Macaca fascicularis: one gene and its partners. The protein of the gene in region 3 purifies or fractionates together with the protein of the main gene of each other region. This does not show direct contact. Links are inferred from orthologs where the notes say so. Each region holds a gene or a part of one and is shown on either strand. Other genes may lie near its edges.

Region 1 (4,380 bases), on a different chromosome or scaffold from region 3:
CTCCTTCAGAGAGGCCCAGAGAGGAAAGAAAGCTGTGGGGTCCCTGGGGGCTGGACCAGGGCCTGGGGTGGGGGGGTTCTTCTTCTCTTGTTCCAGTCCCCAAATGGCAAACCCCAGGAGGGCTGGCCACGCATAGCAGAGGATGGGGCCCGTGCGAAACCCTGGTGGAGTTCCCGCCCGTCTCTGTCTCAGTCTGTCTCTGCCCTTAGGGTTGGCACCCCCACCCCAGCTTTCCCGAGTGAGGCTTCCATGGGCACAACTGGCCCTGGAGTCAGGACAGGTGTATGAGGGCTGGGGGGGTAGGGGCGGCTCCCCAGAGAGTGAGTGTGAGGGGTGGGGCTGCAGACGTGGGTCCTCCCAAAAGGAGAGGGGTCGGGGAGCCTGTCATAACTGGCCCCAGGCAGAAGCAGAGGTTTGGAAATGGCTTCTTCCGGGGACAGCTGCTTCAGCAGGGCTTCCTGTGTGACAGCCGTGCGGGGTGCGGGCCCATCTCTCAGCCCCACAACCACTTCCTCTTCTCTTTGCTTCCATCGGCCCTTTTAAGGTAACAACTTGGGGCCCATCTCCCCTTCCTGTCTTACCCCTCAAAGAGCACAGGAGTGTGCTGGGGGTGTGGGGCAGCAGATGGCCAGCGGAGAGGGCAGCAGGCTCCAGGGGAGGGCAGGGCTGGGGTCGGGGAGAGTGCCTCTTGCATCATCCCTGCCTGCGAGCTGGGGGCCAGAGTTGCTAGGTCCTAAGACAGGCCCAGAGCCAGAGTCCCCCCCAACCCTGAGAATGCTGCCAGGGCCCCCAGACCCCATCCCAACCCTCTCTGTGTTTCCATGGGGAGAAAGCCCCAGGCTGAGGCTGGGGAGGGCTGGTCATGGGTCTGCAGGACTGTCTGCAGTCGGGGGCCCCCAGACCCCATCACAGCCCTCTCTGTGTTTCCAGCCCCAGGCTGAGGCTCAGAAGGGCTGGTCATGGGCCTGCAGGACTGTCTGTAGTCCTGGTCACTGGTGTGACCCATCTTGTGTTGGCTCCTTCTGAGCATCAGTTTCCACACAGCCACAGCACAGAGGAGCTAGAGGAAGTGTAAGGCTCATGGGGCCCAGCTCAGTTTTCCAGATGGCAACACAGGCCCTGGAAGGCCTGATGACAGTCACCTAATCAGGACCTCCACAGAGCCATGGGTCGGGTGGAGGAGCTGCTACCCCCAGGGCCCCAGGGGCTCACCTTGCCCAGGGGCAGCACCAGGAAGGCCCCTCCCCCACTGGCCTCACAGATCAGGGCCACAAACTTAGGGTTGACAGCACAGAAGCCACTGTCCCAGGTGGTCTGTGAGACGCGCACATCTTCATAGCACTGGTCGGCCTTGGCCGGCTGTCCAAACACGTGGCGGAACTTGCTGGAGCGGACCACCTGCCGGCTCATTCTAGGGGCACACAGGATAAGAGCATTTCTCCCTTCGGGTCAACTCTGATCTTCCAGTGGTCCCCACCTCCCCCAGGACACCCCTCAGTCTGGCTTTTGAGGTCCCAGCATCATCTCCAGGGGCTCCCTATCCTTTCCTCTGTGGCTTATGCCCGCTCGCCTTCCCTGGCCTCTCCTTCCATCTAACCTGCAAGCCCCCTTCTCCCTGGCCCCAGGCCACTCTGAGTCACACTCTCAATCTGTACCCTCAGCCTCTGCAACAGAGCCTGGCGTGGTGTTGCCCCCACTGCATGTTTGTTGACTGACTGGCTGATGGATGCAGAGCCCGTCCTTCCTAATGGTTCAGACTCAGGCGTCATCAGCCCAGATGGCTCTGAGGGTGGGTTCTCTCTTAGTTACAGTGTCCAGAGCCCACCTCCCTCACACCCACACAGCGCTTCCTAAAGGCAGGGACAGGGGCTGGCCTCCTTCCCCTGCCGGTGCGGGGCTGGACACAGGAGGAAGTGGCGTGGGGGCTGCCCGAGGGGAGTGAGGTGGCAGGATGGCTTCCCCAGCAGGTCTCTGGCTCAGGTCCCAGTATCTTCTCCTCCCCATACCTCTGCCTCTTGCCTTCGCTCAGAAAAGCAGGTGCCCTTAAGAGCCATCTCCACCCCCATGTGAAATGCACACAGGAAGGGAGAAGCCACTCCAACTGCTCTGATGTCCAGCTAGGATGGTTTCCCCCAGTGTCTGGTGGGGAGCAAGGAACTCCAGGGACGACCTTGTGCCACCGCATCACCCTCCTGCTCAGGGAAGGGGCCTGTGCTACCGCTGAGAGGGTACCGTGCCCAGAGCCTCTGCCCCTAGCCTCAGCCTCGCCTACTCACTGGGGGCGCCAACACCCCTGGCCACCCCAGGACTCCCAAAGAGGCTGCTAGGTCGGCCTGCCCAAAGATCGGTGAGGAGCGTACGTGAAGAGCCCCCGTCTTGAGGAGCAGCCAGGGTCTGGAGAGAGAGGAGCCCCGGACCAGAGGTGGGGGACAGGAAGCCATCGCCCCACCCTGCCTCCTCCCCCGCCGCAGGTACCAGGCCCGGAAACCACGGAAAGGGGAACTTGGTCTTTTCTTGTTTTGCTCTCAACCCCTTCCTGTCTCCAAGCCCAGGGCAGCTGCCCCACTCACCCCACCCTGTCCCCGTCCCCACCCTCCCCGAGACTTAATTCCGGGGGGAGTCGGGCCCTCGACACTGTGCTAACCCCCGGCCGCCCACCTCCATCTTGGCCGCGGTGGTCCCTCGCCCTCGCCTCCGCAGAGCGCTCTGGGGCCCCGGCGGCCCCCACTCCAGGCAGCGTCCCCCCACGGGCTGCTGCGCCCGCTCCCTGGCCCCGGCGCTGGCTGGGTCGCGGTGACAGCCGCGCGCCCCCGCAACCCGCGGCTCCCACACGCGCGCCGCCCCACAGGTGGCCCTCGCCCCGGTCCACCCGCGCCTCCTGGGCCCAGCCTCACCTGCTGCAGAGAGAGGACAGTGACCCCCCAAAAGCCGGAGGTGGAGGAGGAGGAGGAAGAGGAGGAAGGAGCTGGAGGAGCCGGGGACTCGCCCGCTGAGGATGCTCTTGTCAAGACAATGAATGAGAAGCAGCCGTGCGCCCGCCTCCAGGGTGGCCGCGCCCCTTGGGGCGGAGCTCTTCCAGGCCCGCCCTGCGCTCCCGGGCCCCTGCTGCGGCCGCCTCCCTCCCCTGCCTCAGCCCGCGCCCCACGTTGGTTCCTAACCATAGCGCAGGCTGCCAGCCCGGCTCCGGGAAGCGAATCTGCACTTCTTTTTAAAATGTCAAAAGGCAAAAACACCCCGTTGCTTCTTTTCTCCCTGCGTCCGCCCCTAGCCTCCTCTCCAGCCTTTCCCTGGCAGGCACGAAAGCGCTCCAGGCCCGCCCGCCAGGCCTCGGTGTCCGCCCCGGCCCGGCGACGCCGCCCCCTCCTCCCGACCCCGCAGACGCGAGCGCGGGGAGCGCGGGGGTCGCGGGGGGCACGGGAGAGGAGGAGCCCCGAGCGCGCTCCCGGACCCAAGGGACCTGGCTCTTGCCTGGCTCCGAGATCTACACATGGGTGGCCCCGGGAGTCGCTTCTCCTCCCTGGTCTCCTGTCTTCATCGGGAACACCCCTGCCCTCCTGCTGAAATAATTCGGCATCACGGGCACCTACTTCGTGCCAGGGGCTACAGGGTCGAGCGAGGCAGGCGAGCCAGGCAGGCTCCCGCCCGTGAAGAGCCCAGCCTGGGGGAAGGAGGAGGAGCCCACGGCCGCTCCAAGCCCGGCTTTGGCGAAGGCTCGAGGGCAAGGAGGAGTAGTTCCCACCCTTAGATTCAGAGAGGTTTCTGGAGACAGCAACAGCGGGCAGGAAAGGCCTGCTCTAGAGTCAGACTATGTCATGAGTGCGACCGCAGCCTGTCACCTGCTGAGTGACATGTGGCCGCTACTTAGCCTTTCTCAGCCTCGGTTTCTCCCTCTGTAACAGTCATACCTGCCACGTAAGAGGTATGGGTATGATTACCTAAAATAACCCAAGAAAGTCAGTAAGGACCTCATCTAGAAAGTGGCGAGGGCTTAATAAACGTTAGCTCTCGGCCATGCGTGGTGACTCACGCCTGTAATCCTAGCACTTTGGGAGGCCAAGGCTGGCGGATCACCTGAGGTCAGGAGTTTGAGACCAGCCTGGCCAACATGGTAAAACCACATCTCCACTAAAAATACAAAAATTAGCGTGGTGTAGTGATGCATACCTGTAATCCCAGCTACTCAGGAAGCTAAGGCATGAGAATAGCTTGAACCCAGGAGGCAGAGGCTGCAGTGAGCCAAGACTGAGCCACTGCATCACCCAGTCTTCCCTGGGTGAAAGAGCAAGACTCTGTCTCATTAAAAAAAAAAAAAAAAAAAAAAAAAAAAAAAAAAAAAAAAAAAAAAGTTAGCTCTTGTCATTCTTGTTTACAAAGTATCTG
Region 2 (4,331 bases), on a different chromosome or scaffold from region 3:
CCACTGCACTCCAGCCTGGGTGACAGAGCGAGACTCCGTCTCAAAAAAAATAAATAAATAAAAATAAATAAATAAATAAAACCTCCTCATTGGAAAAGGAACTGAGAGGCACTGTGTTGGGACAGAGGGCAGGTTTTCAACAGACTGGTTTCAACCCTGGTTCTCCCATAGCTCAGCTCAAGACTTTGGATAAGGTGCAAAACTCTCTTGAGCCAGTTTCCTCAACGGGGATAGTTAACACCTGCCCCTCTTGTAGAACTGCAAAAATCATGGGAAATAAGGTAGATAGAGCGCTGAGCAAGGAGTGGAGACCGAAGAAATGACAGCTTCCTTCCCTTCCCCAACTCCTCACCTTTGACATTTCGCTTCTGCTGAAAGTTAGTTACTATTATGCCAAAGGAAGACCAGGTGAGTTTTTCTTCTGAAGAGACAGAGCTGCCGAAAAGAGAGCAGTTTCCAACACTTACCTTCTCTGCCATCCCCTCTTCTCCTCCAATGAAAAAGTCTGTTTTGCGTCGAAGGAAGCTGAAGAAGGTGTTCACAAGCTGAAAGATGGGGAGAAGATTAAAGGTGTGGAGCTGCCATTTGGGAGCCCTTCAAGTGCACACAAGTCAACTTCTTTTGTCTAGGAGGCAACTTGGGACTTGACTATTTTTCCTCTGAGCCTCCCAACTGAGGAGACATCTCCCCAGCAGGTTCTCTTAGTTACTTCCACCATGAAGCAGATTTCTCATATCCTGTGTGAGTGTGCGCGTTTCATTTTCCTTGTGATGCCTGAAGCAGCCTAAGTGTATGCAATACTCCTCTGCATCCAGGGCATGAAAAGCCCAGGCCCAGCTTTAAAAACCCCATCAAGACACCGGCTCACACCTGTAATCCCAGCACTTCAGGAGGCTCAGGAGGGCGGATCACTTGAGGTCAGGAGTTTAAGACCAGGTTGGCCAACAGGTGAAACCCCACCTCTACTAAAAACACAAAAATCAGCCGGGTGCGGTGGTGGGCAACTGTAATCCCAGCTACTTGGGAGGCTGAGGCAGGAGAATCACTTGAACCCGGGAAGCAGAGGTTGCAGTGAGCCAAGATCATGCCACTGCACTCCAGCCTGGGTGACAGAGTGAGACTCTGTCTAAAAAAAAAAAAAAAAAAAAAAAAAGACACTAAGTTACTGGGTCAAAGCAAGACGGAGGAGAGCAAATGAAGCACTTCAAAGGAGGATAAGATGGATTAACTCTGGCTGGAGTACAAGTGTAGCCAAGGGTTTGAGTATCTGACGGACATATATTACCTTTTGACTTTGCAGAAGTTTCTTAACTCTGTACAACAGGAATAAGATGCAGTACCTATTTCTAGGGACCTGGTGAGGATCATGAGGTCATGGAGTTGAGGCCTTCAGCCACGTATGGCACAGAGCAAGAGACCCACTGGCAGAGGGTAAACACCTTACAAATAGGACCATGACCCATGGCTTAGTCTATCTGCCACCTGCAATGCTGGGCACCAGATACAGCTAAAGGTACATGCTCAGTAAAATTCTTGCTGAATGAAACAATCTAGCGGTGACCTAAAGTCAGCACACACAAGCCCTTTATTTGCCCAAGAGTGGGTCTAAATCTGATGAAATCTGACGCTAGAACATATATCAGTGATTTCCATTCTTGCTTCTAGACACTTTTTCAGTTTGTTCAAAAATGAACTCACTCCCAAATCCAGTTTTGTGTAAACAGTTTAGAGGAATGGAGACAGGAAGGCTTTTCACACTTCCAAATTAGAAGCACTCTCCCCACCACAAAGGGCTTAGAAATCCTTGGTCACCAGACACCTGGGTTACATAGCAATAGAAAGTTCAATGGAAACCTACCTCCAGTGAGACACAATCAGCCATGGACTCTGGGAAGCACACTGACCTGTCCAGGTGAGGACCACGCTGTATGATCTAGGCAAATCCCTGCCACTTTTCTGGCTCTGAGAATGACAGTTCTGATCCTGACGGACTTTTCTACCTCTAACTTTGTGTTTGTTCCAAAAAAACCAACTCCAGAATCTGGAACAGTTGGCCCTTATTATTCATACACTGTGTTACCGTGTCTGTCACTGTGCACGAATTATCTCTTTGAAATGCTCTTTGTAAGCTCTATCAGGGCGAGGACAAGTTTTTGTATCCCCAGTCGCGTTGAGTGTGGGACACACATTAATCACACGACAAATACTTGTTGAATGAAAAAGCCTTATTACTGAGAACTTACGGTACTTCACTACTCTCGGGAAACCGGCATTCGCAGCTGTCTCACAGACAAGGAAACTCAGGCTTGGAGAGATGTAAAGGTTCCAAGTTGGTAGGTGGTGGAAACTAATCGTGAATACAGGCCTCCTCTCCTATTCCCCCATTCAAGGCCTAACAAGACCACGTGCTAACATCACCCCGCGCCCCTACCACACACATTCGACGGCTCGCCCCAAGCCTTGGTGGATCCAAATCACTGTATTTGGCACGGTTCTTACTAAGGGATGCTCCTCGGAAGACGCCATGAAAGTGGAAACGGGGTTGGGGGTATATGTGAAACTAAAGGGGAATCCTAAGCTCAGGGACGCGATAATTGCTACTACTGAGGGGCGCCGGGGGCCCAGAACTGATGCGAACCGGGTGAGACCGCCAGCGGGTGGCCAGGCCGGAAGCTGGGCGCGGTGAGAATGTGGGGGCATCCCAGAAGCCCGCGAGCCCCAGGGGTGGGTCTCAGCCCTGGAAGGCAGAGAAGGGCGGAAGGAGCTTGGCCAGGGCCGCCGGATGGGCCGACGCCGCGCGGACCGTTACCTCCTGCACGCCGCCCTCGTGCTGCTGAGCCATGGCCAGCAACATGCCGTCGAACCGCTCCTCCTCCTGCTCTCCGCCCATCGCGCCGGCTCCGATCCACGTCCCGAGCTCTGCACTCTAGTCCCGCGCTCTCTAGGCTCCTTCGGATCGCGCCGGGCCCAACGACTCTAGTCGTCCGCCTTCCGCAGCGGAGCCGGAAACACGCACCCGCGCGGCCCCTGCAGGCCTGCCTCCTCCTCCTTTCTTCCCGCCTTCTTCCCGGCTCGCGGCCATTGACCGTGCGGCAAGCAACCCGCTTCGCCGACCATTGGTCGACATTCTGAGCCAATCAACAAGCGCGTCCACGAAGCGGTGGGCGGAGCCGTGGGCTTGAGAGTTTGGCATGAGTTGCTATGGTCACCCGATGCCGTGGAGACTTCTAGAAAGCCCTGGACTCAAATCTGGCAGAGTTGGAAGTTAAAAAGGGACAAGTTTTGCTCCTCTCCCTTGCTAGTGACCCCCCAGCTTGTAGAACAGTGAAGCTGAAAGTAGCCTTACTCATCTCTTCCAATCCTAGAAGGGACTTACCACAGGACAGCCTCCTTCTCATCGACCTCATTTCATACTTGACCAGGGCCAGCTTCATGGGAGTAGAAATTGCAGCACCCAGGCTTAGAAAGGCTCCACGCTTGATTTAATGCTTTTCTGTTGTAGTCTTGAAATTCTTAATAATTTTGGAATAAGGAGCCCCACATTTTCACTTTGCACAGGGCCCAGGAAATTATGACAGGTGCTGAAATTGACCTTCACTTCTGTTAATGCAGGGACAGGACCCAGCCATCCAAGCTAATCCCTCCACTTTTGCAATGAATCTCATCATCTTAGTCTTTTCAGGAACTCTATGCCTGTTAATTATCCCTTTTTTAGCTTCTGCATCACAAATACCTTTATTCTTCCCTTCAATTTACAAACATGCCTTAATGTCTTTTTGTTTGTTTTTAAAGGTGCGGGTCTTGCATTGTCACCCAAGCTGGAGTTCAGTGGCGCCATCATGGCTCACGGCAGCCTTGAACTCCTGGACTCAAGCCATCCTCCCCACTTCAGCCTCCAGAGTAGCTGGGACTACAGGCTCACACCAAGCCCTGCTTTTTTTTTTTTTTTTTTTTTGGGTAGAGATGGAGTCTGTGTTGCCCAGGCTAAGTCTCAAACTCCCGGTTTCAAGCACTCCTCCTGCCTCAGCCTCTCAAAGTGCTGGGATTACAGGTTTGAGTCACCATGCCCAGCGCTGTTTTTATATTATTATTCCATGACCCCACTTTCTTCTGCTGCTACCTCCCCAATTTTCAGCTCTCATTTGCAGCAAGCTTGTTTGCTTGTTTCTCTACTCCCTCACCTTCCATCTCTCTACAGTTTATTCTAGTCTATCCATTATTATTGTTATTATTATTTTAGACAAAGTCTAGCTCTGTCGCCTAGGCTGGAGTGTGATGACACGATCTCAGCTCACTGCAACCTCTGCCTCCCAGGTTCAAGTGATTCTCAG
Region 3 (4,474 bases):
CTTTTGTGGTTGCCAAACCGTCAACCCAAAATATCTGAGACAGGTCTCAGTCAACTTAGAAAATTTATTTTGCCAAGGTTAAGGACGCACACATGACACAGCCTCAGGAGGTCCTGACAACATGTGCCCAAGTGGCCTGGGCACAGCATGGTTTTATACATTTTAGGGAGACAAAATAAATCAATCAATACATGTAAGATTTACATTGGTTTGATCTGGAAGGGCAAGACAACTCAAAGTGGGAAACTTCCATGTCATTGGTAGATTTAAACATATTCTGATTGGCAATTGGTTGAAAGAATTATTATCAGTAGAAAGGGATATCTTGGTTAAGATAAGAGGTTGTGGAGACCAAGGTTTTACCATGCAGATGAAGCCTCCAAGTAGCAGGTTTCGGAGAAAATAGATGGTAAATGTTTCTCATCAGACTTGTTTTGTGTTGATGTTAACGCTGGAGGGTATAATGAGGCATGTCCAACCCCCACTTCCCATTATGGCCTGAACCACTCTTTCAGGTTAAATTTTAGAGTGCCTTGGCCAAGCAGGGAGTCCATTCAGATGGTTACTGGTGGCCTTCAAATTTTATTTTATTTTATTTTTTATTTATTTATTTTTGAGACGGAGTCTCCCTCTGTTGCCCAAGCTGGAGGGCAGCGGCGAAGAGATCTTGGCTCACTGCAACCTCTGCCTCCGGAGTTCAAGTAGTTCTCCACCCTCAGCCTCACCAGTAGCTGGGTTTACAGGCGCGTGCCACCACGCCCGGCTAATTTTTGTATTTTTAGTAGACATGGGGTTTCACCATGTTGGCCAGGTTGGTCTCGTACTCCTGGCCTCAGGTGATCCACCCACCTCTGCCTCCCAAATTGGCAAAGTGCTGAGATTACAGGCGTGAGCCACTGCGCCCGGCCTCTCCTTCTTTTGAAGACTGGGTCTCTAACAGCTTCTTAGGCCTGAAGGATCCTGACAGGGCCGGGCTGCACCACACTCCTTCGTGTTACAAATGGGGAAACTGGGGCACACAGCAGAGGCGTTTTTCCTGAGATCACACAGCCAATCAGGGCGAGAACTGAGAATCGAACCTAGATTTCTCCAGTCCATGTTTGTGATTCCGAGTAACTCATGTTATTTTAAATCGACACTTGTCTTAAGAACGTTCGGACGGGCGAACCATTGAGAGTTCCCGAGGGGCGAATACTCAGTTCTCAATAGATTCCTGCGGGAAAACCTGGCTGCGCCGGCGCGCGCGGGTGCTTTAAGGCAATCTGGTCACAGCAACCCACGTGTCCTCCACTTCCGGGATCCTTAAGGCCGTCTTTTCGGGTGGTAAAACCCGGCCCGCCGTCACGTCATCTTGGGAAGTGTAGTTCCACCTTCCTCCAGATATAGGGGCGTGGGCGACTTTGAACTGCATTTCCCAGCAGGCTGCGCTCGCCGTTAGAGTAGCCGGACGACGGGCTGGTGGGGTGAACCCCTCATCCTGGGTCTTTTAATTTCTCAGGCGGAACGAGTGGCGGCAGACAGAGGCTTTTGGCGGCGCTGTCTGTGGGTTTTCTGAGCTTGGGGAACTGGGTACGGAGACCGTGGCGCCGGCCGCCGGTCACCCAGCTCTGCTTCCAGTCGTGGGGCAAAAAGCTGAGGCGCTTCTCCTTTAATTGCGGTGGGCGGGGCGTGCCGACGCGGCCCGCGTTGCTATTGGTGGCCGTTGGGGGCGCGGAAACTGAACGGGCCGCAACGGCCACCGCCGCTGCCTTCGGCGCCGCCAGCCCGGCCATGGCTGCGCCCTGCGCGGTAAGCCCAGCCGACTGCAGCTCCCCAGGCCTCAGTCTCCCCGCTGGGACACTGGGCGCCTAGTGGCCAGAGCGATGGCTGCGAGGGGCGGGTGGGGCGCCAGGTTCCAGGGTGGTCCTCTTCAGGACCAGTTTACCGTCTGTGCTGGGTCGGGCACTTTCTGAGCCCCTCCTGCGTGCCAGGCCCTGCGCTGGATTTCTGGAGCGAACAAACAGGCCTCTGCCTCCATCGTTTGCATCCTAGCGAGGGACACACGACCAAGTCCTGACTCATGTGTGACCTGGGACTGGTATCGGGCCTCTGTAGTCATTCTCCCTGTCCTTAGCAATTGGTGGCTGCGTAGGGTCTTGTTGAGGGTACACCCTGCTCCAGCAGAGGGGTACAGCAGGACGCTGAGATGCCCGGGCCTGCAGTGTGAGCCGGGTGGAGTCGCCCTCTCTGAGTCCACATTCCTGCAGAGGTCCTCATTTCGAGAGATTCCTTTGAACGGGCCTGGCCTTCTGGCTGATAGGAGAGGCAGGGAGGCTGGGTGCCTGTGATGCCCTGAGGCGGCCTGGCCCTCTGGCTGATTGGAGAGTCAGGGAGGGTAGGTGGTAGCCTGTGATGCCCTGAGGCACTTGAGGACGTGGACGGAGAGTCCAGGCTAGGATACCGACCTTTTGACCCTTTTGACTCCTAATCTGGTACTCTACCTCCCTTCCTGCCCCCTTCCCCCCCTCCCCACCCCGTGTGTAAACCACTGTTGAGGGAGATGAGGCCCACATGCAGGGAGCTACAGAGGGGAGGCGGTGTTGAGAGATATCACGGGACCTACTGGTCAGGGGTGGACCTGAACTTGCCTCTGCCTGCTGAGCCTAGAGGCGGACACTTTCTTACCCATGTTCTTTCAAGAAGCTCAGGTGAGAGCAGAAGGCTCTTTTGGGGACCCTCCCCCAGCTACTTCTCTCTCTGTTGTTGAAAGGAGACTCTGACAGGTGCGTTAGGGGTGGAGCTGGGCACAAGGCCATAGAGCCTTTGTTCTGGTTACTGCTGTGTAGGGTGGCTTTGCTATGCCCCAAGGACATCCTTTCCCAAGAGGAGCCTTTGTGCTTCCTGGAGCACCCAGAGTGCTTCTTTGAGGTTTGTGATACTTAGTGTAGGGGGAGTTGTTTGGGTGACTGAATTATAACCTTTCAAGTGTTGAGATCCTAGCTGCTATTGGAAGGACAGAGTCTCCGGAATATTCTCTCTGGTGTTTTCCTAAGCAATGTCCTGAATGGCCTTGCTGTTTCTCTGATGTTGGGTAGAGTAGAGTTGGTGGTGATGCCATGGGGACCTGTCCAGGGCTGACCTTTTGGGTTCACTGGCCAGTCTGTGGTGGCATTGAGGTGATAGGATCTGATTCCTGAGAAAAGGTTGGGGGATGCTGTAAGGTTCCTGTTTTCTCTCTCTAGGCTTTTAAAACATAACTTTATTAAGATATTCGTATACCATAGAATTCACCTTTTAAAGTGTACAGTTCAGTAGCTTTTAGTACATTCACAGTGTTGTGCAGCTGTAATCACTAATTCCAGAATATTTTCATCATCCCAAAAAGAAACTCCATACTCAATAACAGTCACGCCACTTCTTCCCTTTCCCCATTTTCTCCCAACCCTTGGCAATCACTAATATATTAATACTTTCTGTCTCTATATATTTGACTATTCTGAACTTTTCATATGAATGGAATCAGACAAAATGTGGCCTTTGGTGTTTGACTTCTTTGACTTAGCATGTTTTCAGGGTTCATCCATGTTGCAGCAAGCATCAGCACTTCAGTCCTTTTTATGGCTGAATAATATTCTGTTGTATGAATATGCTACATTTAGTTTATTCAGTCATGTGTTGATGGACATTTGGGTTTATTCACTTGTTGGCTATTAAGAAAAATGCTGCTCTAAACATTTGTGTACCAGTTTTTGTGTAAACCATGTTTTCAACTCTTTGGGGTATTTACCTAGAATTTCTGGGTCATTTGCTAACTATGTTTAACTACTTTATTTTTTATTTTATTATATTTATTTTATTTATTTATTTTTTGATTAGTAGTCTCACTCTGTTGCCCAGGCTGGAGTACAGTGGTGCGATCTCGGCTCACTGCAACCTCCTCCTCCCGGGTTCAAGCGATTCTCCTGCCTTAGCCTCCCAAATAATTGGGACGATAGGCACCCACCACCACAGCTGGCTAATTTTTGTGTTTTTGGTAGAGAGGGTTTTCACCATGTTGGCCAGGCTGATCTTCAACTCCTGACCTCAGGTGATCTGCCCGCCTGGGCCCCTAAAGTGCTGGGATTGCAGGCAGAGCCACTGTGCCCGGCTAACTACTTTTTTTTAGTCAGGGTCTTGCTCTGTTGCCTAGGCTGGAGTGCAGTGGTGTGATCACAGCTCACTGCAACCTTGAACTCCTGTGCTCAAGCAGTCCTCCCACCTCACCCTCCTGAGTAGCTGGGAATACAGGCACAAGCCACTACGTGTGCCTTATTCTTTAATTTTTTTGAAGGGTCAGGGTCTTGCTGCGTTGCCCAGGTTGGTCTTGAACCCCTGGCTTCAAGTGATCCTCCTGCCTCAGCCTCCCAAAGTGTGGAGATTACAGGTGTGAGCCACTGCACTTGACCTATGTTTAACTTTTTGAGGAACTGCCAAATTGCTTTCTACAGTATCTGCT

What was found.
Region 1: the proteins of POC1A (region 3) and CORO1A purify together in Homo sapiens (affinity purification with mass spectrometry; 3 studies listed by BioGRID and IntAct, counting the BioPlex papers as one, with this or other methods). This does not show direct contact. The link is inferred for Macaca fascicularis from reciprocal best matches to the Homo sapiens genes POC1A and CORO1A.
Region 2: the proteins of POC1A (region 3) and NUDC purify together in Homo sapiens (co-immunoprecipitation; 3 studies listed by BioGRID and IntAct, with this or other methods). This does not show direct contact. The link is inferred for Macaca fascicularis from reciprocal best matches to the Homo sapiens genes POC1A and NUDC.

What each region holds. Positions count from the first base shown.
Region 1 is NC_088394.1:27,912,456-27,916,835, forward strand, and holds the start of CORO1A (coronin-1A), read right to left. Parts: upstream 3,015-4,380; 5' UTR 2,895-3,014; exon of another isoform or gene 2,849-2,894; intron 2,472-2,848; exon of another isoform or gene 1,833-2,471; intron 1,412-1,832; 5' UTR 1,411-1,411; coding exon 1,213-1,410; intron 1-1,212. UniProt on the Homo sapiens protein: May be a crucial component of the cytoskeleton of highly motile cells, functioning both in the invagination of large pieces of plasma membrane, as well as in forming protrusions of the plasma membrane involved in cell locomotion.
Region 2 is NC_088375.1:208,182,222-208,186,552, forward strand, and holds the start of NUDC (nuclear migration protein nudC), read right to left. Parts: upstream 3,015-4,331; 5' UTR 2,891-3,014; coding exon 2,810-2,890; intron 546-2,809; coding exon 468-545; intron 1-467. UniProt on the Homo sapiens protein: Plays a role in neurogenesis and neuronal migration. Necessary for correct formation of mitotic spindles and chromosome separation during mitosis. Necessary for cytokinesis and cell proliferation.
Region 3 is NC_088376.1:115,229,497-115,233,970, reverse strand, and holds the start of POC1A (POC1 centriolar protein homolog A), read left to right. Parts: upstream 1-1,436; 5' UTR 1,437-1,770; coding exon 1,771-1,788; intron 1,789-4,474.